Linked DNA regions of Oryctolagus cuniculus. The protein of the gene in region 7 binds, or shares a complex with, the protein of the main gene of each other region. Links are inferred from orthologs where the notes say so. Each region holds a gene or a part of one and is shown on either strand. Other genes may lie near its edges.

Region 1 (4,163 bases), about 88 Mb from region 7:
GACTAGGAATGCTGATCAGCACAGTGAGACAGGAGAGGGAGTAAAGAGCACTCAGGGCTGGTGTTGTGCCACAGCAGCTTAAGGTACTCCCAGGGATGCCCACATGTCGTATCAGAGTGCAGGCTGGAGTTCAGCTACTCCGTTTCCAGTCCAGCTTCCTGCAAGTGTGCCCAGGAAAGCAGCTGGGGATGGCCCAAGTCCTTGGGCCCCTGCTACCGATCTGGGAGACTTCTATGGGTTTAGCCTCATCCAGCCTGGCTGGATGGTCATGTTGTGGTCATTTGGGGATTGAACTAGTGGATGGAAGATCGCTCAATCTCATAGTCTCTGTCTCTGTCTCTCTCCCTCTCTAACTCTGCCTTTCAAATAAATAAAATAAGCCTTTAAAAAGTAATATTTTAAAAACAGTATACATATTGGGAAGGAGTAACAATATAAAACAATTCCCTATTTGCAAATAAAATGATTGTCACAGAAAAAATTCCAAGGAATCTGGACTAGAAAACCCTTCCTAAAATTAATAAGGGAGCTTGGCAAGATCCCAGGTTACTAAATCTATACACGAAAAGAAATTTCCAGAAATTAGCAGATAGACAAGATGGAGAATATAGATAGTAAAACTTAAAGGATTAAAGACGTTTCTTTCTTTACTTGAAAGGCAGAGAGAGAGGCAGAGAGCTTCCATTGGCTGCTTCACTCCCCAAATGCCCACAACAGCTGGGGCTGGGCCAAGCCCAAACCAGGAGCCTAGAACCTAACCCAGGTTTCCCAACTGGGTGGCAGGATCCCATGACATCCCCTTCTGCCTCCCAGGGTGCAGGTTAGCAGGAAGCTGGAATCAACATACCCAGGACTGAAACTGGGGCCCTTCGATATGGGACGCCAGCATCTCAAGCTGGCGCTTAACTCCTGAGCCAAATGCCCACCCCCAAATAAAGGATTCTTTAAAAAAAATTATTTGAAAGGCAGAGTTACAGAGAGAGAGGTCTTCCAAACGCTGCTTCACTCCGCAAACGGCTGCAATGGCCATGGCTGGGCCAAGCCAAGCAGGAGCCAGGAGCTTCACCCAGGGTGGGTGGAGTGAGGATAACCCTCAGGCTCTGACTCGGGCCCCTCGGTGGCAGTGAAGTCATTCCCCAGGGGAATGACTAGGAACTCTAAGCACGAGCCTGGCTTTGGACACTGTGAGCCCGCGGTGCCCCTAAAGCTCGCCGGCCAATCCTAGTGCGGAAAGGCAGATCCCAGCAGGTGCGGCAGCCCCACCTGCCGGATCCATCCCCGGGGCAGGGTTTCCCAGCGCCCCGCCCAAGCGCGGCGCCCGGCGGCGCGCGTCTCCGGAAGCCGCTCGCGCAGGCGCAGTGCAGCGGGCGCCCCCTGGCGGTCGGCAGCGGATCGCAGGGCCCGCCCCCAGCCGCCCGCCGCTGCTGCCCGCCTCAGCCCAACATGGCGATGCACAACAAGGCGGCGCCGCCGCAGATCCCGGACACCCGGCGGGAGCTTGCCGAGCTCGTGAAGCGGAAGCAGGAGCTGGCGGTGAGCGGCTGGGACCCGGGGCTCCGGCGTGGGGCCCCGCGCTCGCCCGGCCGCCGACCGCCAGCCCGGCCGCACCAGGCCGTCGGTTACTCCGGGGACGCCGCGCGCGGCCCGGGAGTCCGGCGGCCTGGGCCGGGGCGCGTGCCGCCGAGCGCCGTTTCCGGCGGTGCGGAGGCGGAGCGGCGGCCGGAGCCCGGAGGGGGCGGGGAGCGGGCCTCGGCGGCGCGGAGGAGGAAGGGCGCCGCGGGCCGGGGCGTGTGCGTGCGGGCGCCTGAGAGGGCGGGTGTCGTGGGTCGTGCGGGTGGGCGCGGGCGGAGGCGGGTCCCGGCCTGCGGGTGGGCTTTGGGGATGAGCCGAGTGTGGGAGCCGGTCTGGTCTCTGAGAGGATGGTGGGGGGGTAGGTCCCTTTTGGTCCTAGGAGCCCATCCGTGGGAGGGTGTCTGGGATGGGCAGGGGTGTGATCTTTCCAGAAGGTGACAGGCGGGGGACGAGGACCGGGTTGGGAAACTGGGAGCCGTGACGTGCACCCCGCGTTTGGGCGCACCTGCTGCCGCCCTTCCAGGTTTCCATGACAACGGGCAGCCCGGGGCCGGCGGCCTCGCCGAGCCCTTGGGAGGGCAGTGCCCAGTGCCTCGCTCATTCCGCGCCTGGTGGCGGTCCCCTTTGTGCGTGGGCGTGGAGCCTGCCCCTGTTCTGCCTCGGCCCGGTTCTTGACACTTGGGTTTCCGAGAGCCCTGTGCAGAATTCCGCACGTGTGGGCGTTTACCTGGGGACAGGCTCTGTGGAGTCCGTTCTGTTCCCAAAGGGGTCGGGCCATCACCCCGAAAGATCCAGACTCTTGGACTTGAATGGCCTACCGTTCCTGGAGTCCTCCAGCCCTCCACGAAGGTAGTTTAATGTGGGTGAGTTTGGGTTTATGATAAGCCCAGGGTCAGGCTTTCAGTGTGGGCACAGCTAATCCCCGGCCTGGCTTGTCGTCTCCCAGGAAACTCTGGCCAACTTGGAGAGACAGATCTATGCTTTTGAAGGAAGCTACCTGGAAGACACTCAGATGTATGGCAATATCATTCGTGGCTGGGACCGCTATCTAACCAACCAAAAGTGAGTTTCCAAAGGTTGTGCTCTCGAAATACCCATTTGTGGGATTGTGTGTTGTTGACAGCCATGGGGCCGGGGAGGCAGCAGCCGTCAGGTGGTGGTGTGCAGGGAGGTCTGGGCTTGAGCTGGCACTGAGGGTCCGCCCCTGCCTCCCCGAGTAGAACAGGGGGAGTCTGGCCCTGCCCAAGAGCTGTGTAAGGCTTGGATGGAGTACGGCGTGTGACAGTCTGCACAGCTCTGGTAGTGTTTTCCACATTTTGATCAGTCTTGAGTTCAACCCTTGGAAGTTTTGCCATACCTGTGTGGCTACTGTACTACAGTGTTATTCTTTGGGACTGGCTGTGTGGCACAGGGGGTTAAACTGCAACCTGTGACGTCAGCATCCTGTTTAAGAGAGCCAGTTCTAATCCCAGCTGTTCTGTTTTCAATCCAGCTCCCTGCTGATGTGCTAGGAAGGCGGTGGAAGATGGCCCACAAGGTTGGGTCCCTGCCAACCGTGTGGGAGACCAGGTAGAGTTCCAGGCTTTTGATTTTGGCCTGGCCCAGCCCTGGCTGTTGTGGGCATTTGGGGAGTGAACCACGGATGGAAGACCTCTCTTTCTTTGTCTCTCCCTTTCTGTTACTCTGCCTTTCAAATAAATAAATCTTTTAAAAAAATATTTCATTTATTTGAAAGGCAGAGTGACAGAGATCTTTCATATGCTGGTTCACTCCCCAAATGGTGCAACAGCTGGGGCTGGACTGATCTGAAGCCAGGAGCCAGGAATTCCATCCAGGTCCCCTGCGTGTTGCAAGGGCCCCAAGCATTTGGGCCGTCTTCGGCTGCCCTTCCAGGCACATCAGCAGGGAGCTGGATTGGAAGTGGAGGAACTGGGACAGAAACCGGTGCCCATATGGGATGCCAGCACCCACTTAACCTGCTACGCTACAGTGCTAACCCCCATATAAGTAAAATGTTAAAAAAATGATTCTTTTCAAATTTTGGAAATTTTTAAAAATTTAAGTAGAATTTTTTAAAAAATTTACTTATTTATTTGAAAGAGTTACGCAGAGAGAGAGAGGGAGGTCCTCCATCTGCTGGTTCATTCACTCCCCAGATGGCTGCAAGGACTGGAACTGCGCTGATCCGAAGCCAGGAGCCAGGAGCCTCTTCTGGGTTCCCCACGTAGGTGCAGGGTCCCAAAGACTTGGGCCATCTTCCACTGCTATTCCAGGCCATAGAAGAGAGCTGGATCAGAAGAGGAACAGCCAGGACTAGAACTGGTGCCTATATGGGCTGCCAGCGCTTCAGGCCAGGGTGTTAACCCGCTGCGCCACAGCGCGGGCCTTAGGTAGAATTTTTTTTTTTTACGTTTATTTGGAAGACAGAGTGGCAGGCAGAGAGATTTTCCATCAGGTTAAAGGCAGGCTGAAGCCTGGAGGCAGAACTCAGTCCTAGTCTCTCCTGGGTGACTCCTTGAGTCACCACCTGCAGCCTCCCTGGGCGCACATTAGCAGGACATTGGAATTGGAAGCAGATGGGACTCAAGCCT
Region 2 (3,500 bases), on a different chromosome or scaffold from region 7:
TGGGGACTCTTGCGGAACACAGCTAGTTTCCTCTGGTGTTGGACTGAATCAGAGTCTCTCTGAATCGACTAAGGTGTTAGACTGAATCAGAGTCTCTCTGGTGTTGGACTGAATCAGAGTCTCTCTGAATCAACTAAGTGCTAGATGAAGTGGTTAGCTTTGTACGGGGGGGGGGGGGGGGGGGGTGGCCGACACGACGACATTCTGTATGTAAAACTTGTCCTTAGACCTACAATTACGCTAAGTGAGATGTTTTAGCCCAAGAAGGCAATGACAAGGTGGGCAGGAAACGTGTAGGAGAAACAAAGGATTTGCATCTCTCATTCCAGCTTCACCTTGCAGAAGACTTTTTCTTAGAACTGTATTTAAAATCCTGTATTATGATTCAACTACCAAATATTCTTTGCCCCTCCAGGGGCCTATACTTAAATTCACTTAACTGAAATCCATATATGACAGAAACGCACTCTAATATATTTGACAGAGCAAAAAGAGAAAAGCTTTCAGTCACCAGAACATTTACAAATATGAAAGAATAGTGTTATCCCATAGTAGTTTGGAGGCGTCTAGTCTCTAAATATATGGGAACTCCAGCGATTTTCAGAAGGAATTGAGAACAATCAATACCACAGAAAAAAATAGGTAAGCTCATTTAAAAAAAAAGTTATATATGTAGGGAGAAGGAAATGATTAAAAAGAGATTAGAATATTATAAAGATTTTTTTCCAGCTAAACTTGTGGTATGTTCAACAATGTTCACCTTTTAAAGTTCTTTGGCAAACACAAATTAAGAAAGTTTTGTAACTGATATTGATATGCCTTTTATGTGAAACAGAAAACTTATTTATATAATAACAGTGAGCTTTATAAAATTATTAAGACAGCTATAAACTTCAGTTTCTCTAAGGGATGGGAAAGATGGGGATTGATGGAACATGTCTATCTTCTCTAAGAGGTCTCAATTTCATAAAGCTTCAGAAGCTTTAAATATTGGGGAAACTACTGCAAATTTATACTTTTAAACTGTTCACACCACATATACATCTTCCTTCATTGTGAAGTTCTTCATTTTGATTTTTAAGATAATAAACCAGAGAGTAATTGGCTTTTGGTGATAAAAATATTAGGAATTAATGAAATTTATAAATAACCAGTTAGATTTCCAAGAAACTTTATCTTCCAGTTGATCTACAATGTGATTACTTTTCTCATGAACACAAAGATTTCCATTTCACAGAAGTCCTTTTTGTAACCACCAACAAATTACTATATGAACACTTTCTGGAGGTCTTCAAGAGAAAGAGGCACATTTTCCTATGCATGAGGCAACTGAACCATTACCCCACCAGGTACTGATTAGGGAAACAAGCAATCTTTACAGTCCTTTCAACATCAATATTTAAATTACCTCGAAAAAAATGTAGTAGCATAATTTTAACAGTGAAAGTCTCTAACTTATAGGCTTCAAATGACACGGACTTGTGCTTTAAAATAGAAAGCTACAATTATAGGAATATTTTAAGTAGATAGCATTTATTGTAATAGCCTTATTTCACAATGTATAATAATAAAGTCGACATAGTCTAAAGATGTTTTCAAAAATGTTAAAGTAAACTTTAGCTTAGATATTCTTCTTTGCAAAGTTAGTTTCTCTCTTAATACATTGTTCTGAATTGTTTTATCAGCACAGATGCTTAAGCACGCCTACTGACTTGCTGGAATCCATGCTTAGGTAAAAGACGAAAGAAGTATCCAAGCATGAAACTCTTTAACGATTTCAGGTCTGTTTTCCTTTCATATTATTTGAAAATGTAATCAATGATTCTTGTGGTTCAATGACTGCATCCAGCAATCAAATGTCACCCATTAAACAGCAACACATCGCCTTTGCATGTGGGTGTTATTTGAATACAGACACATACATACAAACTCCTACAGCAACAAAATTCAAATACTTAAACCAAGACCTTTTTTATTTTATTAACTGTTTTGAGAAAAAAAAGATTTTCAGCTACATATGTAATAAATCACACACTCAAAAAACTGGAGGAACCTTACATTTTTATAGAAATGCACATCATAGCAAATAAACATACCGAAGTGTGCTGAGCCACTGCTACTTTTACTTTGCGTGGAGGTACTGCATGTCTGGGTCCCAGGTTGTGCTGTTCCTGTTCGATACACACTCCTATACAACTTTCTACAGGAGAGTTCATCATTGTCACCGTCATGTAGGGATGGTGTCCGAGGCCTAAAATGCCGCCATCTACATGATTTGATATTGACTAGTATCTGACTGAGGTCTTTAGAGAAAGATTTGTCCGAGGTATTTGTTTCTGAGGTATTGGCAAACTGATTGACTGGAGAATGTTGTGGTGAGGAAAGCATTTCCAAATCCAGGTGGCGAAACATACTGTCGTAGTCTGAATGAGCTCTGTCCAGTAAGACCCTATTAAAAACACGGTGGAAATAGATATATATCAGCAGCTCCTCAAGGACTATTTAGGAAAGCTTTTCCTTTCTCCCCCCAACCCCAACTTCCTAACTCCTATTGGATATTCAAAAGCTATAAAGTTGATTATTTCAGTATTTGATTATTACAGGCTCAAAAACACACTTTACAAAATCTTGCTAACATATCTGTCTGTATTTAAGCAAAAACGTCATTCTTTGGGGGAAGAGAAAAGCAGTTAAAAGACATGTGATATTTGGTACTACTAAAATTTCTTATAGACAAAATATGACAATCCCCTACTTTAGGGGGATATATTATTATTGATATAAACTTCTAACCCATTTTTATTTATTTCAAAGGCAGAGCGAGCACATGCGCTTTTGGCCTCTGGTGCATTCCTCAAATGCCTGCTACGGTAGGGGCTGGACCAGAAACTGTATCCAGGTCTCCCATATGGGTGGCACTGGCGCCAACATCTGTTGCCTCCCAGGATGCACAATAACAGGAAGCAGGATCAGAGGCAGAGGTGAGACTCAAACCCCAGGCAGTCTGATAAGGGATGCAGGCATCCCAAGTGGTGACTTAACCCACTGCATCACAATGCCAGCCACAATCTAAATTTCATAAATGACTCCATCTCAAAATGAGAATACTGATTAATGCTAGCAACAGAAGAAAATACAGCCACCACAGAGAATTTTCACTACCACCAATGTCACAGAAACAAAGTACTACAAAGTGGCAAAATATTTCAACAAATAAATTAAGAACAGCAAAGAGAAATATCTAAAATATCCCTCTGCTAGGAACACAGAGCACCCTACCTTCCACCGCGCCCAACCCGTCTTCGTGCAAATCCAATACACCTCTGGGGTACGGTGAGAGTAGTTAAGCAGTATCTGTATCGCACATCCCCTAATCCTCCATCTTTAGGACTAGTCCAAGGCCAGTTCCCAGTTTGGTCTAAGTGAGGCTAAAAAAAAATATCCACATTATTTTATTTTGTCAGTTAGAGGGAAACAGTTAGATATTTGCAAGGAGGAAA
Region 3 (3,199 bases), on a different chromosome or scaffold from region 7:
CTAGCTGCTCCCAGTGCGGCAGCTCGTTGCTAGGATACCTGAAGCCTCGGCCTAGGGACAGTGGCCGCTGAGGGCCAATCCCAGCAACAGGTTTGGAACTTCTCCGGATCGTTTTAATCAAGGACGTCAGCCACCGGCATTTTACTCTCCTTGTGAATCTCAGAGCGCTATTTGTTTCCTAACATTTCCCTCACAATTTTTCTTATGCGACTCTCCTGCCAATTAGACACTACCGTCCACACAGACCTGTGGCAAGCACCTTCTTGTTCTACCAGATCATGCTGTTCTCTCTATACCCAGTTTCTTTAAAATTGAAAAGCAATCTTTGTTTGTGAAATATTTATTTATAAAGCAGTAATAAAATGTTTAATTACCTCTAAATTGGGCCTATGGAACAAAGATGTGGGGTAACATTTATGACATAAATCCAAATCTCAACCCTCCTCCCTTTGTTTTAATATTATATCCACAGGCACTGGTGCCTCCTTTTACTAGAAAAGACAACAGAGAAGTGGTAAACAAAGTGTTGGGATTTTTCTGGGCCAGAGTTTCAGGAAGAGGTCCAAACTTGAGAAAAAACGTCAGAGTAGCAGCTCCAGGTCAACCAAATACGTTTTCATCACCCACTGGATTGGTTGGTTCTCACTCCAGACTACTTAAGTCTCTCCTTTTGTCTAACCAAATACTCAGCACCTGCAGGGTCAAGGCACAAATAGTAAGCTATGAACTTAAAAGCTAGATGATTCAACATAATTTTCCCCCTTATTTGGCAAATAGATGCAATTACACTTTTTTTCTTTAAAGTATAATGCTGCCCAGAAAAGAAACCCCCAAATGTTTCTTTAAAGCTACTAAGTCTTTTCCCCCAAAGATAGAAACCTGTGATGTGATTAATAGCAACAGTTGTAGTAACCAACAAATGGACAGTGGCTCCAGCCTTTGGTTTGCTGTTCAGTCTTCCCACTTGAGGCTCTAGAAGCCGGAGTTCCCATCACTCGCCTATCCCCAGCTTTCTTGAGAGGTCTTCACTGTTGCCTGTGTTGCTAGACTACATCACTTCACCTCACTCTCTACTAAAAATAGAACCTACTGAGGTTCGGGGTCCAAAGCAGTAGACACAACACCAGGTGTTGAATCACTTCTAAATATAAACTTTGGAAACACAGCACCACTTCAACATCACCTTTACTGTCACAGACTTTCCAAAATCAGATCGTAGTGGCTACACCCCTTTTACTTGCAGCACTCTACAAACAGTACCTGAATCTGCTCCAAGACTTCTCGCTGCATCTCCACAGCCATATGGTACACATGATGATCAGAATCATTGTACATCACAGCATTCTGGAACATCAGCATCAGGTCCCGCTGGAACTGAGCCAAGGTGCGAATTCGTCCCTTAGACAGATTTCTCTTCAGGCTAGTTAAGTCCATGGGTCTGTAAATTGGCCAAGAGAAAGAGAGGAGATCAAACATTAGTATGGAAGATGTGGTGACCTACCATGCTCTTTTGGAGAACTGGTTCCTAATAAAAATAAATAGCAAGGTAGGCTGGTGCCGCGGCTCACTAGGCTAATCTTCCGCCTTGCGGCGCCGGCACACCGGGTTCTAGTCCCGGTCGGGGCGCCGGGTTCTGTCCCGGTTGCCCCTCTTCCAGGCCAGCTCTCTGCTGTGGCCAGGGAGTGCAGTGGAGGATGGCCCAGGTGCTTGGGCCCTGCACCCCATGGGAGACCAGGTAAGTACCTGGCTCCCAGCTTTGGATCGGCGCGGTGCGCTGGCTACAGCGGCCATTGGAGGGTGAACCAACAGCAAAAAGAAGACCTTTCTCTCTGTCTCTCTCTCTCTCACTGTCTGTAATTCTACCTGTCACATAAAAAAAATAAATAAATAAAAATAAATAGCAAAGTAACAACTCCCATCAGATAAAAGCAACTGCGATTAACATTTGACTGTTCATAGTAGGCTAACTTCTACTGTAGGCACTTTCTGTAGTAACTTAGTCCTCTGAATCCATAAGGTAGGTATCATTATTATTTCCACTTAACCTATAGAGAGGTTAAGTACTTGCCTAATGACACACAGCCTGGATTCAAATTCAAATCAACCTGACTACAGAACCCCATGGTCCAAGCCACTATTCTTACTGTGGGTGGTTGGCCAGGCATCAGAGCTGTAAGGGGACCCGATTATCAATCAGTTTGCCACACAATAGTTTTTGGCTGTTGGCAATGTAGTCATATAATAGGTATTTAATCTACTTCTCTTGTTGCATAAATCAAAAGTGAATTTTTTTCCCCTTTCACTAAGATGAAAAGAACGGAGATCAAATGAATAGTCACACAAATAAATATTTACAAAGAATAGATATATACGAGAAAGCACAGCAGTGTAGAAAGGGCTGAACTGGAAGAATCTATAGCTTGGGGCAGGGCTGTGGCGCATTAGGTTAATCCTCTGCCTGCGGCATCGGCATCCCATATGGGCCCCTGGGTTCTAGTCCCAGTTGCTCCTCTTCCAGTCCAGCTCTATGCTGTGGCCTGGGATAGCAGTGGAAGACGGCCCAAGTGTTTGGGCCCCTGCACCCACATTGGAGGCCAGGAAGAAACTCCTGGCTCCTGGCTTCGGATTGGCGCAGCTCTGGCCATTGCGGCCATTTGGGGAGTGAACCAACGGAGGGAAGACCTTTCTCTCTGTCTCTCCCTTTAACTGTCTGTAAACTCTACCTCTCAAATAAATAAATCTAAAAAAAAAAAAAAAAAAAGAATCTATAGCTTAACTCTGCTATTAACTGTTGGTTGTTCATAGGTAAGTCACAACTACCTTTGGACATTAATTTCCCCATTTATATTACAAAGGAGTTTGTCTCTGCTATAGTTTCAGTGATGATGTTCTCTCTGAAATTCACGTTGAAACATATTCCCCAATGCAACAGTTCTGAGTTATTGGTCTTGGAGAGGTGATTAAGTCATTAGGATGCCACCCTCATGAATAGGATTAGTACCCTTATAAAGGAGGCTGAGATTGATGGAAGCCCTCTTGCTTGTCTATTCTTCCTACCATGTAAGAACACAGCATCTGCCCCCTCAAGAGGATGTAGCAATAGGGCACCATCTTGGAAGCAGAGAACAGCCCTTTAGAGACCAGTCCTGCAGGCAACTTGATCCTGAACTGCTCAGCATCCAGAACCATGAGAATAAAT
Region 4 (3,500 bases), on a different chromosome or scaffold from region 7:
CGAGCAGTGGCCTAGCCCTCCATGCCACCACCCCGCCCCAGCTGCAGCCCTCGTTTCACAGGATTGTGCAGAAGGAAGCCAGCACCTGTGGGTGCCGTGTGAGCCCTGCACCCAGAGCCATAGTTGCTGGTGGGCTCATGTGGTTAGTCAGGCCTCAGTGGCCAGTGTGGCGACCCCAGCGGCAGCCGCAGCTGACTGAGCATGTGCCGAGCTGCCGGTGACCTTGCCTCTCCCTGCACGCAGGTGCTCACTCCCACATCCGGGGACTTGGGCTGGACGATGCCCTGGAGCCACGGCAGGTAAGGCAGAGGGGACTGGGGTTCAGGGCTGCTCCATGAAGGCCAGGGCTGACGGTGCCCGTGGCGCGTGTGGGACTGTGTTATCTTCCCGACCTGTGGCTCCACATTTACAAAACTCAGCCACACGTGGAGTCTAACTGACGTCAAAACATGGACATGGGGGGCTGCTTTGGCTTTCCCCAGAAGTCTTGGGCCCCGGTGTCTGCTTTGGTGTCCCGCGCCTGGATGCGGTAGAAGTACAGCGGTTGCCTGGTCGGCGCCCCTCATGGCCCTCTTGCTTCCACCGCGCAGGCCTCCCAGGGCATGGTGGGGCAGCTGGCGGCCCGGCGGGCAGCCGGCGTGGTCCTGGAGATGATCCGGGAAGGCAAGATCGCCGGGCGGGCCGTCCTCATCGCTGGCCAGCCGGGCACCGGGAAGACGGCGATCGCCATGGGTAAGAGGCCCCGCCGGGCAGGAGCGCTCTTGGTCTCTGCCAGATGAGCCCCCCTCGTAAGTCAGCGTCAAACCCCTCACGTAAGAAAGTCCAGACGTGGGCCACTGGGGCCTTTGAGCAGCTGCACGAGGTCTCCTGTCTTCCTGCCTTGACATCCTCTGCACTCGGTTCCATGTCAAGATCGCCTCCTGTTCCGAGAGGGCTGCCTGAGCTCCCGCCTCCCCACCCACACTCCAGGCAGCAGGCAGTGAGGGCGGACCTCCTAGGTCAGCTCCCCGGGAGCGGCTCTCGGGAGCCAGGCGTGCTGTGCTGTCCCGTCGGCCAGAACCTAGCCACGTGCCTACACTCTGCTGCAAAGGGGCTCAGACGCTCACAACTTCTTTGAATTTCCAAAGTTGGTCTGTGGCTGCCTCAGTGCAGCGACTGTTCTGGAACTAAGGAAGGAGGGACAGACAGGCGCTGAACACACAGCCGGCAGTCTCCATCCGCCCACCGGAGATCTGTCATCTTGTCACAAGTGTCGCTCGTCTCGGCGAACCCCTGTCCACCCTTCAGAACCCTGCCTGGCACTGTGGGCTCCCTGAAGCCCTCCTTCCCACTGCCCCCTCCTCTGGGCTCAGGCTGTGCCCAGGCAGCGGGAGGCGCAGAACGACCAGGGCTTAGTCAAGGGAAGCAGCGTCGTCTGGTGCCCTCCTGTGCTGGGCCTGGGGCTGCACGCTGAGTGCATGTAGCCCCGCTGAGCCCTCAGCGCCGGGAGCTCCCCGTCTGGGAGAGGCAGGCCTGGCCACGGGCCCTTCCAGAGTGACGCGTGCTGTCATGGAGGTGTCCCAGGGCAGGGGCAGCTCCCCAGAGGGGTCGACACCTGAGCTAAGACCGCCGGGACCCCGAAGGAACTGGCCCTGTGCTGGACAGAGGCCGGGGGAGGGGCTGGGTGCTTGGGAGATGACAGGAGACAGCCCCCGCCTGCCCCCAGGTTCCAGCTGCAGACCTGTCCCTGTGTGGTCGCAGGCTGAGTGACAGGGTTGAGTGCCCGCCCCATAATCACGCAGTGCAGGCTGTCGTCCGCGGAAGGCTTGGGAAGCAGCTGAGACTTAGGGATCCTTCAGGGCTCAGCGTGCTGAGCAGTGGGGTCTGGATTCAAACCCGGCTGCTCCCCACCCCAGGCCCTGAGGCCGGACAGCTCTTAGACACTGGGAGACGGAAGACGCTCGGCGAGGTTCGAGGCCGTCCCCTCTGGCTGGTCGGGATTTGAGAGCAGGCTTCTGGCGCAGCCGGCTTGTCTCCCGTCTGCCCTGTGCCTCGCGCCTCTCTCCAGCCCCCTTCCCGAGGGTTCTGCCCTGCTCAGAGCCAAGCGAAGACGGGGTGGCAGTGCAGGCGTAGGGTGCAGACCGAGCCACTGCGTGGGACGCCTGCATCCCACGTGGACTGTGTGGTTTGAGTCCCTGCTGCTTCACTCTGGCCAGCCAGCTGCCTGCCCTGGAGGCATAGGAAGCCCAAGTACGTGGGCTGCTGCCACGCACGGGGAGGCCTGGGGGAGTTCCTGGCTCCTGACTTGGGCCTGTCCCAGCCCCGGCTGTTGTGGGCATCTGGGGCGTGAACCAGCAGATGGAAGGTCTCGCTCCGTTTCTCCCTCTCTGACACTGTGCCTTTCAGATGAGTACATCTTAGGGGAAAGGAAGGAAAGAGGCCGATGGCGCCGAGCGCCCCTTCCTGGGGGAGAGCTGGCTTCCCCGGGGAGCGGTGCCAGCGCCTGCTTACCCAGCCCGCCTCCCCCAGGCATGGCCCAGGCGCTGGGCCCCGACACCCCCTTCACAGCCATCGCCGGCAGTGAGATCTTCTCCCTGGAAATGAGCAAGACCGAGGCGCTGACCCAGGCCTTCCGGCGCTCCATCGGCGTGCGCATCAAGTAAGGGAGGGGCTGCCTCCTGCCAGCCGCCAGCCCGCTCACCCTCCGCCCTGGGGCTCCTGGGGGTTCTGGGTCGCTGTGCCCTGAGCTCTGCTCTCTGGCCAGGGAGGAGACGGAGATCATCGAAGGAGAGGTGGTGGAGATCCAGATCGATCGGCCGGCCACCGGCACGGTGAGTCCGCGGGTCTGCAGCCGGGCATGGGGGCGTGGCCTCCGAGTCCGTGGGTGGGGCGGGGGGCGGAGCCTGGTGTGCTGGCGGGAGGGCTGGGCGGAGTGGCGGTGCTCGCCAGCAGTTGGCCGGGGCACGCGGAGCGGGGCAGCGGCGAGGGGCCGGGCTGGGCGTTTCTGTGGGTGCTCGCCAGCCACCGCTCAGAGGGCAGTTCTGCGGGGTTCAGACGCCTCAGTACCAAGCTGCGCCGTGGGATTTGCTCGCTGGTTTTTTTAACCTAAGACTTTTCTGAAACCCTTTTGGTATCCGACAGGTACAAAGAAGCATATAAAATAAACACTGCTCTAATAAGTCAGGAGGAAATCCCCCCCCCCCCCCCCCCGCGCAGGTGCTGAGCCTCTGCCAGCGCCCCCAGCATTCCCCACCCCGCCTCGCTGCTTCCCGCCGTGGCCCGAGGCCCTGTTACAGCTCCCTCCTGCGCCCACGCTCGCTCCCTTGTCTCCAGGGTTTTTGTTACCCAACTCTGCATTCCTAGACGCTGGAGTAGCCTTGTCAGGTGTTTCTGCTTCGTGCCTGTCTGTTGGAAAGTTTCCCTTGATCTCTTCGTTTGTGGTTTACCTGTAAAGAAACCGTTTTAAAGTGTGCGGTGTGGCAGAAGGACACCATCTCGTCTAGTTCTAGAACTGTCCCCAA
Region 5 (3,500 bases), on a different chromosome or scaffold from region 7:
TATTGAGTTCATACTGCCTTTGGTACACATGGTCTGATTTTCTGAGTCTGTTGAGTTTTAACATCTTACCTGGTAACCAATCAAACACAGGTATATTCTTGTCCTGTGAGCTCACAAGATGATTTATGTGAGACAGTCCTCTGGAGAACTGCTGATGTTTACAAAAGGACACCTTTTGTGTATACCAACTTACACTGTGATGCTGGAGGCTGTAGCTGATATCCAGTTAATTGACACCACCCTACAGGATAGAGGTCAGGGGACTCACAGTCTACCCACTGATCATACTCTTCTTCCCATCCATCAAAATGTATCCTCAAGAGACGATGAATAATCCGAGTTACTGTGGCTACACATATTAAACGTGGCTCCATGAGATCTACTGCTTCTAATTTCATTCCTACACGAAATCCGTGGTTTGGAACATCCTAACAGGGAAGCAAAACATTAACACTAGTATAAAGAATGCATGACTGAACTGTAACTAAAATAGCAAAAAATTGAGGCAATATAGCCAAATAACATAGCCCCTAAACCTCAAACCACTTTTAATTATTTAAGTTATATTACGGCAGTGAAGCATTTTTATTTCATTCATATTAAAAATAAAACATAGTTTGGAAATAAGCTTCAACTAAGAAAATAAATGGTTTTAATATTATGTATTTATATTAATCACCACTAAGCAATTATAATATAAAGGAAAGACATCTTCATCAACAATGACTTGCACTTATTGGTCATCAAAAAAACTCCAACATAATTAATTCAACATTTATATTTACCTTATTAAATAGTTTTACTGGTGCTGCAATGGAGCCAGTTTCCCTGAGGTAGTCAAACCATTTAAAAGGAAGTTTTGTGTAACCTAAAAAACAGAATTTTATGAAGTAACACTTCATTTAAAATTAGCCTAATACTAAAATGTAGAAAGAGGTAACATATACAGAGTCTCCGATTTCAGGTTATATGACACACTTTTAGCTCACTGGTGTGCCTACTTACTATCATGCCAGTCTGATTCCCTTCCTTTGGGTTTACTACAAGAACGACTTTTGCTTTTGCAATCACAGGCTTCAGAAGAGTCTAGCATTTAACACCCTGAAGTGATATTTTTCTTTTTTTTAAAGAAAGAAAACTAGGCAAGCAAATATTGTTTTTATAGACCTCTGTTGTAGCTTTCTTTTTTCCTCTTCTGAGAGAAAAAATAAAACTCTGAGGAAAACTGGAAAAATCAACTGATTTAGCCATGTGATTTACTTAACACACATTTCCTTTAAAAAAAAAAGCCATCTTACGATCAAAGTTCCTTCAATCTTAAGGAACAGTGTGAGAGAGAAAGAGAGAAGCCCTCCATCCACTCGTTCACTCTCCAAATGGCTGTAATGGCCAGAGCTGGGCCAGGCCAAAGCCAAGAGCCAGGAACCAAGATCCAAGAGCCTCTTCTAGGTCCCTGACATGGGTGGCAGGGGCCCAGGGACTTAGGCCATCTTCTGCTGTTTTCCCAGGCAAAGTAGGAGGGAGCTGGATGGGGAGTAGAGCAGTCAGGAATTGAACTGGCACCCATATGGGATGCTGGCACTGCAGGAGGTGGCTTAACCTGAAAGCCAGTAGCACCCTTTCCTTCAATTAAAAAAAAATTTATGTATGCAATAGCCTTGAGTTCATATTATCATTAGGTTAAAACACCAATTCATATTAGAAAATGGACAGATGGTTTGGGAAAAATTCTGTCTTAATGTAATTTGTTATGTAAACTTAAATACAGTGCTTTGTTTTTAGAGCACCTAACAGCTTCCGTTATTTCTATATAGCTAACACACACCTATATAATATATAGACCCCAAAGCAAGAATATCTGTGCTAAATGTAAACAGATCCTGTGTAAGAAGAACTCAAGAATCAAATCCGAGTGTTCACATTAGGATGGAATACCTCTGGGTGGAGTAAGTTCAATCATATTAATTTCACAGAAACCGACAGGGAAAATCGAAGGAGATGTCGCATGGTAACAGAACCAGTCAGAGCCATCCGCTGCTTCTGAGCCATCAATCCCAATCATGAGGAATCCATCAGCCAGCACCTTTTAAATTAAAAGCCCAAGTATCTGAAATTAGATACAACTATTATAAAAAATGACACTCTGAATTAAATGACACTTTCAAGGAAAGGAAAATCTATTACATAAGGATCTCTTCAAAGTGGAAATGCTTGTCTACTGATTGATGTTAAATAACAGAAGTTGTAACAAGAAGCCTATATAGTTTCCAGTGTGTTCCAGAAACCAAAAGCCCAATAACAAAGTGACTTCAGAGGTTTGAGAAAAACAGTATCTTTGCCACCAGCAAAAGCTGCCTGTTACTGTGTCAGGTAGAAGCGCCATAACCATGTGGGCTGAAAATACTACTCGGCAGTACCTTTACTTTGTTCCTATCGATCTATTTCATACAGTTTTTCCAGTACATATTACCAGGAAGCTGGAATTAAGAGCAGAGCCAGAGCCGGCGCCGTGGCTCAATAGGCTAATCCTCCACCTTGCGGCGCCGGCAAACCGGGTTCTAGTCCCGGTTGGGGCGCCGGATTCTGTCCCGGTTGCCCCTCTTCCAGGCCAGCTCTCTGCTATGGCCAGGGAGTGCAGTGGAGGATGGCCCAGGTGCTTGGGCCCTGCACCCCATGGGAGACCAGGAAAAGCACCTGGCTCCTGGCTCCTGCCAGGATCAGCGCGGTGCGCCGGCTGCAGCGGCGGCCATTGGAGGGTGAACCAGCGGCAAAGGAAGACCTTTCTCTCTCTGTCTCTCTCTCTCACTGTCCACTCTGCCTGTCAAAAAAAAAAAAAAAAAAAAAAAAAAAAAAAAAAAGAGCAGAGCCAGGACTTGAACCTCAGCACTCAGATATGGGACATGGGTGTCCCAAGAAGTGTTGTGATTACTGTACCAAACGCCCACGGTGATTCCTACATTTTTTTTTAAGTTGTACTTATTTATTTGAAAGTCAGAGTGAAAGACATAGAGGGAAAGACAGCGAGAGATCTTCATCTGGTGGTTCACTTCCCAAATACCAAAAGTGGAGACTGCGCCATGTGGAAGCCAGGAAACTCCATTTGAATCTCCCATGTGGGTGACAGGAACCCAAGTATTTGGGCCAAGATCTGTTACCTCCCCGACTCATTAGCAGGAAGCTGGATTTGAAGCAGATGTGGGACTTGATCTCAGGCACTCTGGTATGTGATATGGGCATCCAAGGCAGTGGCTTAATTCCCTGTGCTACAATTTCTGCTTCTTGATTCCTGAAGTTTTATCATGAGTTTGTCAGTTCTGCAGTCTAAATATACTCTGAGAATTAGTACAGGGCATCAAACCAACAAACCTCTTACTTCTCTGTAGGTAATCAATCTCCAGGTGTCAAGACCCCACCTCTACTGCCAGTCCCTTCTTTATCCTTGTCAATCTCCGTCACTTCATTATGATGTCTAGTATTATTGCTTTCAGCTGTCTTCCACA
Region 6 (3,338 bases), on a different chromosome or scaffold from region 7:
AAGTTAAAAACGAGCTCACTGGGGTGGGCCTGTACCTAATGATTTGTGTCCTTATATTGGTAATTTGGGGAAAAATCCTTTATTAATAAACTCTTCAAACCACCCATTCTGAGTCTTTTTTTTTTTTGGAGGGGGCTGGGACTTGAATTGATAGGATTTTATGTGATTCTTATTTCCATATTTGTTCTTAATGTATTTTCTAAAATTTTTACAATAGTTATGGTTACTTTTCTAGTTGATCTGAAAAAGTCATGAAAAATATGTGGTTTGACTAGGAAATTCTCATGTTTAGATGAACCTACAAGTACAGCTATCCAATACCATGGAACATCTCCATGGATTCCCTATGCTAGGATTAAAGAGAAGGAACTTGACATCTGTTGGGGAATCAGGGAAGTCTTGGTCAACGATCTAGGAGTCACAGATCTGTGATACCACCAAGATCTTTCCTGAGCAAGGTGAGTCTGTCAGCTTTGGTGACATTAAAGGCACAGCACATATTTCTTGCTTTGAAACTTAGAAACAATTTTTATTTGAGATCTGAAATACAATTCCTAAAATATCAACTTCTCCAGAAAACCGTGGCTACACAATAATGCATTGCCTCTATCATGTTAGAACGTGCATTAGACTCAAATACAAAAACCATGAAACAAATCACCATCCTTCAACAATTTGAGCAAAGATAGGATGCCTAAGGAACAACATAGATGGATTTGCAGAGGATGGGCGGTTTTTACTTCAAGCACCATAAAAAAAAAAAAAGAGCACAAATGCATGGGTTTTCGGGTATATACATTAAGTTGAACCTTTGGCACTAGGAATCAGGGCATTTTTTTTTTTATCACATAGCATTAACACAGATTAGAAAATTGTGTAGTGTCAAAGGGATGGAACCACCAGCGTTCAAGCAATGTTGTCAACTATGCAATAAAATGTTCTACTGAATTTTTCTTCTTTTTCTAATTACTGCATACACTGGTAGCAACTCTGAAATGAGAAAAGGAGTTTGCACTCCTTTTATTTTCTGTTTAATATAGAACAGAAAACAAATTGAAACATAAGCCCTGTTATACATTAACAATTTTAAAGAACATCAATTATACAAGAAAAAGACTAAGAACAAAAAAAAAGTGTTTTACAGATACCAGACATTAATGGTGAGTGGTCAGTAGACCCTCACAGGGCTTTGCGGTGGTACTCAGCAGAAGCCACTTTATAATCACTGGCAGTAAACAGAGAAGCAGAATTCTTTGCCAGATATTTTAGGAAATCATGCAAATAGCCCAACAATAGAGCAAGGCTCTTTTCATCAAGGGGCGTATAAGCCAACATTGCTCCAATTCTCACAAATAATCTCAGTAGGTGTGGTGCTCCATAAACCTGGGACATCGGCGCATCAGGGTGAGCCAACAGGATTTCAGCATACTGGGGCCTCTCAAACTTATAGAGCAGCTGAGTGCCCAACATCACATTGAAATACTCTTTTATACCTCCCACAACTTCATTGACGGCATATTCTTTGTTGTCGATGTTTCCCTGTGACTTCTTGCAATTGGCATACTCTTCCAGAATAGCATCTACATTCTTCTTGGCAGGGAGTTGAAAGAGCTGTTTCTGCCTGGTTACTAAGTCCCAGTCCTCAACAAGCCATGGTTTTAATTCTTCAGGGATCTTGACCTTCACTTCCATCCTATTCTTGAATGCATCCTCACTTTCGACAGTGGGATCGGCCCGGGCCCTCTTCTTCCGAGGGGGCTGGGGTGCTTCGCTGGTACTGCCGCCATCTCCATTCCCAGGAGTCTTCTGCTTGTTCTTCCTTGTCTTCCTCACAGATCCTGAAGGGGGGTTCTCAGCCGAGCGACCCCCCCATCTTCCTGGGAGAGCTTGTTCAACATTCTTCGGCTGTTGGCCAGCTGTCTTCTTTCCTGAGGAGGCGCCTCTCATCTTACTTCTCTGCATGTTGCCTCTAGTTGGCTTTTTGAAGTTGTCTTCTTCCGCAGATTGTTGTCCACGAGTTTGAGAACCCTGCTTTCTGGAACTCATTCAACCCTGTTTTTATTCCAACCACTGTAATACATAAAGTATTTTACATGTTTGTTTTCTACAGTGATCTTTAACTATGGTTCATAAAGGCCCATTAGGCCACAACATATGCTAACTCCTACTACCCACTACTGTCATCCCACCCAGGCATTCCTCAGACTGCTCTAGTTTTTTTTTATGTCACTAAAAGTATAGGTGTGCAATTTTAAAGAAGGAACTAAAATGACAAAGAAATGATAAAAGGCAGTGGAGTTGAAATGCAAGACTTTGGAACAGAAGAACAGAAGGAATGACAATGTAAAAGAAATCAGGAACATCAATTTAGCCAAAGAGAGGCAAAATGAACAACAGTAAAACAAGCAACTGGAAAGGTTCTTGTCTTGGTCCAGGTAGGTCGGAAATAGGGCAATGACAGTAAAGAGAAACTGAGCAACACGCTGAAGGAGACCAGGAGTCAAAGGGGCTCTGAAATGTCAAATGTGGGGAGCTAATGAGTTAACAAAAGTAGACTTAAGTGTTACTTTGGAATCAGCAATAAAAATGAAAGAATGGAGGTAAACCATCCATCTATTTGGTTTGTCATCTTCTATTGCTGTATTTTTGCTTCCAAATAGGCACTATGGTAGGTGTTAGGGATTCAAACATCTAAAGTGACAATTATAAAACAAGGTTAGTACATGATGGTTTATAGGCACAGAATACTTTGGTAGCAGACAAGACATGGCATGTAACAAAATCTCCAGTTATCACTAGTTGGGAGGGGGAGCGTAGAAAGTTGGTGAGGGAGGAGTCAGTGAGGACTCCCAGGTTTTGAGAAGTGATTAGGTCATTAGTATTATCACAAAATAATACTGCATCTGCAGGAGAAGAAATTGTTGTTCAGTATCAGCCTTCTTGCATGTGCGGTGTGCATTTCAACATAGCATTTTAAAGCTTAGGTGAGAGAAGTCAGAACTAGAAGTGAAATCTGAGAGTAATCATCATATAGCTGGCAATGGACACTATGAGGGAGACCAGAATAAAATCTGGGAAACCTGAGGAAGCGATATATAAGGGGTGAGCAGAGAGAAAGGCCAAATGAAACAAATGGCCAGAGCAGTCATAGGAAAATTAGGAGACTTAATTTGGAAGCCCAAGTTGAGAATTTCAAGAAGTGACAGGAATAATCGACAGTAAGGGAGGGCTAGAAAGGATGCAAAAATAATCCTATGGTATGAGAGGTCAAACAATTCTTTTCACTTACACAATCTTCCTTCTTTCCTTTCCAAGAATGCCTAGTGAGTTCCCAGATT
Region 7 (3,930 bases):
TCTGTGAAAGACAGCCTAGGAACACATTAATCCCCTGGGCTTGACTCTAACCTGGTAGTAAGCCATCTCCAGAGAGCAATAGATCAACTTCATATTAGTTTAGTGCCTAATCAAAATGCTTTCAACAAATTAAGAATTACTATTCCCGTATCTTTTATCCAGTCATTTATAAATGACTGGATAACAGAATGTTTTTATATCACCTACAGGGTGGGGTTATATAACCACCCCGTTACTTCATATTTATATATATATGTATATGTATATATGTATACATATATATATTTATGTATTTTTTAAAAAAATTCACTTTATTTGAAAGGCACAGGAGCTAGTGCTGTGGCATAGCAAGTGAAGCCACTGCCTGCAGTATCGGCCTCCCATATGTGCACCAGTTTGAGTCCCAGCAGCTCCACTTCCAATCCAGCTCTCTGCTATGGCCTGGGAAAGCTGTAGAGGATTGTCCAAGTCCTTGGGCCCCTGTACCCATGTGGGGGACCTGGAAGAAGTTCCTGGCTTTGGATCGGCTCAGCTCTGGCCATTGCAGCCATTTGGGGAGTCAGCAGATGAAAGGCCTCTCTTTCTCTTTCTGTAACTCTGATTTTCAAGTAAATAAATAAAATCTTAAAAACAAAAAAAGAAATGCACAGTTAAAGAGAGAGAGGTAGGGAGACAAAGATCTTCCATGTGCTGGTTCACTCCCCAAACGGCCGATATGGCCAGGGCTAGGCCAGACCAAAGTCTGGTTTAAGTTGGAACTGGTTTAAGTTCTAGTTGCTCTGCTTCCAATCCAACTTCCTGCTAATGTGCCTGGGAAAAGCAGTGGAGGATGGTTCAAGTCCCCAGATTCTTACACCCATGTGGGAGACCCAGAAGTTCCTGGGTCCTGGCTTTGGCCTGGCTCAGCCCCAACTGTGGTAGCCATTTGGGGAGTGAACCAGTGGAGGGAAGACCTCAAAAAAAAAAAAAAAAAAAAAAAGTAATAAATTTTCCCTAGAGTTTTATGCTGAATAGGTTTGTCTCTCTAAAAGAACACGTATGCGTCTTTCTTACCGTAAAAAGAAATTTAGTTTGGCTAAGTAAGCCACAAAACTCACAGCTAAATTTAATATCAATTGCTCTTACCATTTTAGCATAGGCTCCTGGTACAATGACTTATGATCTGTCTCTATTTTTACTGTTCCTACTTTTTGTTTATATCATAAGCCTCTTTAAATCCTTTTTGGAAGCATGAAGAGTACATATTAAATAACGACTCGTAAAATGACAGAAATAGGAAAATGACTTTGGAGGAGGGATGAGAAAGTTCTATTTTAAACTACTTGGTTAGGCTTGTGTAAGTAATGACTCCCAGAAAGTCACTGAGCCTTGTGGGTGCTATTTTCTTAATATCTCTTGAACTCTCCCATCCATGTTTCCTGCCCCCTTCAAACCATTCCCCCATGTCCCTTATTACAGAGTAACAGTTCTGAAGTACAAATTTAATCTCAGAAATTTGATGACTCTTCTCAATCTTCTGGATGAAGAGCGAAATTCCTTACTGTGGCTCTCAGGGACCTATGTGATCCAGCTCATGCTCACTGCCTCCAGCCTTACCAGTGTTTATTCTTCCTTCAGGATAGAAAATAAAAGTAAACTTGCAGGTCCCAGATCAGGATCCCAGTGCCTGTCCACACTGTGCTCCAACCCCTTCCTGGAATAATCTTTCTCATTCCCTGTTCTCTGTTCTTCATCCAGTCAAGTCCTACTACTCATACTTTCTTTGCTTAAACATCATCCCCACAGGGATCCTTATCCTGAGCAACAACTCTGGATCCTACACGTTCCCGTAACATGTTTATCGCACAGAATTTTAAGAGACTGTAAACCCGGTCAGTCCCTCCCCCCGACCCCGAATCTGGATATATAAGGACAGAGAAGTGTTTTTAACACTGTGTAGATCTATCACCACCCACCGCCACACTCCATGTGTTCAATATGTATCAACTGCACAGGTTCAGGAAGTAAGAATGTAGCAAGTGTCAGCCCAATCCTGACACTGGACCACCGACGGGAAGAGTAACATTTGAAGAAAGACTACCTGTAACTTTACAGAAGTTACAATCTAACAGAAAACTATAAACAAATAAGCAAGCCAAGTCTATTTACAAACTTCACAGAAACAGCTTCTGGGACGGAAGTCATTGGAGAAGTTTTTAGAACAGTCACGGAAGGGTTATCTAGGAAAACATTGACACTGGGGCTCGAAATTTGAAAAAAGGGTAGCCTAAGAGCCCCGGTTTTCTGGAGCGGCTTCCTCTGCATACTCCATACTCCTCTGCATAACCCAGCAGTGCGCCAAACAGCACAAATACATACCAAGGGACTGCCTACGATGTGCCTTCCGCATGCTAGACGTCACAGTGCAGAGAAACTGGAGATGTGCACTGTAGGTTTCTACCACACTGCGGGGTGCCTCCAGAGGGCTTCTCCATCCCAGACCTCCACCCCCACCCCAACCCGGCCAAGGGTTGTCTCTTCCAGGACTCCACTGCACCCCCTCCCACCCACCCTGACTCGAGTATCAGCTCCCAGAGCTCCTCGGTAGAGATTCCCCGCCCCCTTCTTCTTTGTCCAGGGTTTTTCCTTGCAAGACTCCTTCTCTTCGCTTCCTCCCTTCCCTCTTCCTGGGCCCGCTTCTTGCCTCTGTGAAACCCCCATAAGTCGTCTGGTAGAACTCATCTTCTTCCTCTGCCTCCAGGAGCCCAGAGAGCCGGTTCCCAGCGGTCTTCCGGGGGGCCCGGCCCCCAGCCAAACTCATATCGCCTACGGAGACTGCGCCGCCACCAGCGGCCCCTCACCCAGCTCGGTTCTCGGAGCTCGGTACTCGACACCACTACCTGCGGGAGGGAGGCCTCAGCTGGCGGAAGTCAGGCGTCAGGCAGAAGCAGTAGAACATCGATGCCTTCTGGTCCCGCCCCCTACAGCCCTCTTTACCTTTCAGCCCCGCCCACTCTGGCGCTGAGCCTCCAAGCCACCTCCGACCTGTCTTGCTGAATGAGTATATGCCGTGCCCGTGACACCAAGACTAAGTACAGACTTTGTAGTGAACAAGTTTTTTTTTTTTTTTAAGATTCATTCATTTATTCATTTGAAAGGCAGAATTATAAAGACAGAGAGGGATCTTCTATCAGCTGGCTTACTCCCCAAATGGCCATAATGGCGGGGGCTGGGCCAGGCTGAAACCAGGAGCCGGAAACTCCATCGGGGTCTCACGTGGGTGGCAGGAGCCCCAGCACTCCAACCTTCCTTTACTCTTCTTCCCAAGCGCATTAGCAGGGAGCACTACTGGAAGTGGAGCAGCTGGGACTTGAACTGGCGCTCAAATGGGATGCTGGCATTGCAGGTGGTGGCTTAACCCACTGGGCCACAAGGCTGACCCCAACAAATATGCTTTCAGAGGTCATGTTTCTATGTTCCAGTCTTTCATTCTGCTGTAGGTAGTAACTTTTCTAAAAATGGAATTAATCTTCTCCTCAAAAATCTTTAATGGAGGCTGGCGTTGTGGCCCACTGCCTGCAACAGCGGCATCCCATATCGGTGCCAGTTTAATTCGCAGCTGCTCCATTTCTAATCCAGCTGCCTGCTAATTTGCCTGGAAAAAGATAGGCCCCTTCCACGCAGGTGAGAGAACAGACCGGTGCGCCTGGTTTTGGCCTGGCCCAGCCCTCGCTGCTGTAATTGTTTGGGAGAGAACCAGCAGATGGAGGAGTCATCGCTCTTTGTTTCTCCCTCTCTCTCTCTGTAACTCTGCCTTTCAAATAAATAAATCTTTTTTAAAAAATGAACTTATCTTTTTAAAGATTTATTTGAGAGAGTTACAGAGGGAGAGAGAGAAAGAGAGAAAGGTCCACCATCTGCTGGTTCATTCCCCAAATGGCTGCAATGGCC

The links.
Region 1: VPS72 (region 7) and MEAF6 share a complex: the UniProt entries of both Homo sapiens proteins name them as parts of the nuA4 histone acetyltransferase complex. The link is inferred for Oryctolagus cuniculus from reciprocal best matches to the Homo sapiens genes VPS72 and MEAF6.
Region 2: VPS72 (region 7) and EPC1 share a complex: the UniProt entries of both Homo sapiens proteins name them as parts of the nuA4-related complex. The link is inferred for Oryctolagus cuniculus from reciprocal best matches to the Homo sapiens genes VPS72 and EPC1.
Region 3: VPS72 (region 7) and BRD8 share a complex: the UniProt entries of both Homo sapiens proteins name them as parts of the nuA4-related complex. The link is inferred for Oryctolagus cuniculus from reciprocal best matches to the Homo sapiens genes VPS72 and BRD8.
Region 4: the proteins of VPS72 (region 7) and RUVBL2 are in contact, whole or in part, in a cryo-EM structure (PDB 9CA9), measured with the Homo sapiens proteins. The link is inferred for Oryctolagus cuniculus from reciprocal best matches to the Homo sapiens genes VPS72 and RUVBL2. Residues at the interface, in NP_005988.1 of Homo sapiens: Pro210, Ile211, Ile212, Thr213, Tyr214, His215, Ser216, Val217, Thr218, Arg260, Cys261, Ser262, Arg263, Thr264, Thr273, Glu276, Trp277; in NP_006657.1 of Homo sapiens: Glu141, Val142, Val143, Glu144, Ile145, Gln146, Ile147, Asp148, Arg149, Pro150, Ala151, Thr152, Val187, Gln188, Ala189, Gly190, Arg207, Phe209, Thr210, Arg211, Ala212, Asp214, Tyr215.
Region 5: VPS72 (region 7) and MBTD1 share a complex: the UniProt entries of both Homo sapiens proteins name them as parts of the nuA4 histone acetyltransferase complex. The link is inferred for Oryctolagus cuniculus from reciprocal best matches to the Homo sapiens genes VPS72 and MBTD1.
Region 6: VPS72 (region 7) and MORF4L2 share a complex: the UniProt entries of both Homo sapiens proteins name them as parts of the nuA4 histone acetyltransferase complex. The link is inferred for Oryctolagus cuniculus from reciprocal best matches to the Homo sapiens genes VPS72 and MORF4L2.

What each region holds. Positions count from the first base shown.
Region 1 is NC_091438.1:135,241,529-135,245,691, forward strand, and holds the start of MEAF6 (chromatin modification-related protein MEAF6), read left to right. Parts: upstream 1-1,363; 5' UTR 1,364-1,443; coding exon 1,444-1,533; intron 1,534-2,095; exon of another isoform or gene 2,096-2,381; coding exon of another isoform or gene 2,382-2,435; intron 2,436-2,518; coding exon 2,519-2,634; intron 2,635-4,163.
Region 2 is NC_091444.1:102,677,175-102,680,674, forward strand, and holds part of EPC1 (enhancer of polycomb homolog 1), read right to left. Parts: intron 3,429-3,500; coding exon 3,280-3,428; intron 2,450-3,279; coding exon 2,097-2,449; intron 1-2,096. UniProt on the Homo sapiens protein: Component of the NuA4 histone acetyltransferase (HAT) complex, a multiprotein complex involved in transcriptional activation of select genes principally by acetylation of nucleosomal histones H4 and H2A.
Region 3 is NC_091437.1:25,955,661-25,958,859, forward strand, and holds the end of BRD8 (bromodomain-containing protein 8), read right to left. Parts: intron 1,439-3,199; coding exon 1,261-1,438; intron 694-1,260; coding exon 643-693; 3' UTR 501-642; downstream 1-500. UniProt on the Homo sapiens protein: May act as a coactivator during transcriptional activation by hormone-activated nuclear receptors (NR). Isoform 2 stimulates transcriptional activation by AR/DHTR, ESR1/NR3A1, RXRA/NR2B1 and THRB/ERBA2.
Region 4 is NC_091449.1:8,261,926-8,265,425, reverse strand, and holds part of RUVBL2 (ruvB-like 2), read left to right. Parts: intron 1-243; coding exon 244-299; intron 300-590; coding exon 591-732; intron 733-2,508; coding exon 2,509-2,638; intron 2,639-2,743; coding exon 2,744-2,810; intron 2,811-3,500. UniProt on the Homo sapiens protein: Possesses single-stranded DNA-stimulated ATPase and ATP-dependent DNA helicase (5' to 3') activity; hexamerization is thought to be critical for ATP hydrolysis and adjacent subunits in the ring-like structure contribute to the ATPase activity.
Region 5 is NC_091448.1:27,000,961-27,004,460, forward strand, and holds part of MBTD1 (MBT domain-containing protein 1), read right to left. Parts: intron 2,084-3,500; coding exon 1,936-2,083; intron 869-1,935; coding exon 786-868; intron 429-785; coding exon 194-428; intron 1-193. UniProt on the Homo sapiens protein: Chromatin reader component of the NuA4 histone acetyltransferase complex, a multiprotein complex involved in transcriptional activation of select genes principally by acetylation of nucleosomal histones H4 and H2A.
Region 6 is NC_091453.1:89,784,663-89,788,000, reverse strand, and holds the end of MORF4L2 (mortality factor 4-like protein 2), read right to left. Parts: 5' UTR 3,290-3,338; intron 2,071-3,289; 5' UTR 2,047-2,070; coding exon 1,180-2,046; 3' UTR 501-1,179; downstream 1-500. UniProt on the Homo sapiens protein: Component of the NuA4 histone acetyltransferase complex which is involved in transcriptional activation of select genes principally by acetylation of nucleosomal histone H4 and H2A.
Region 7 is NC_091438.1:46,919,284-46,923,213, reverse strand, and holds the start of VPS72 (vacuolar protein sorting-associated protein 72 homolog), read right to left. Parts: upstream 2,801-3,930; coding exon 2,684-2,800; intron 1-2,683. UniProt on the Homo sapiens protein: Deposition-and-exchange histone chaperone specific for H2AZ1, specifically chaperones H2AZ1 and deposits it into nucleosomes.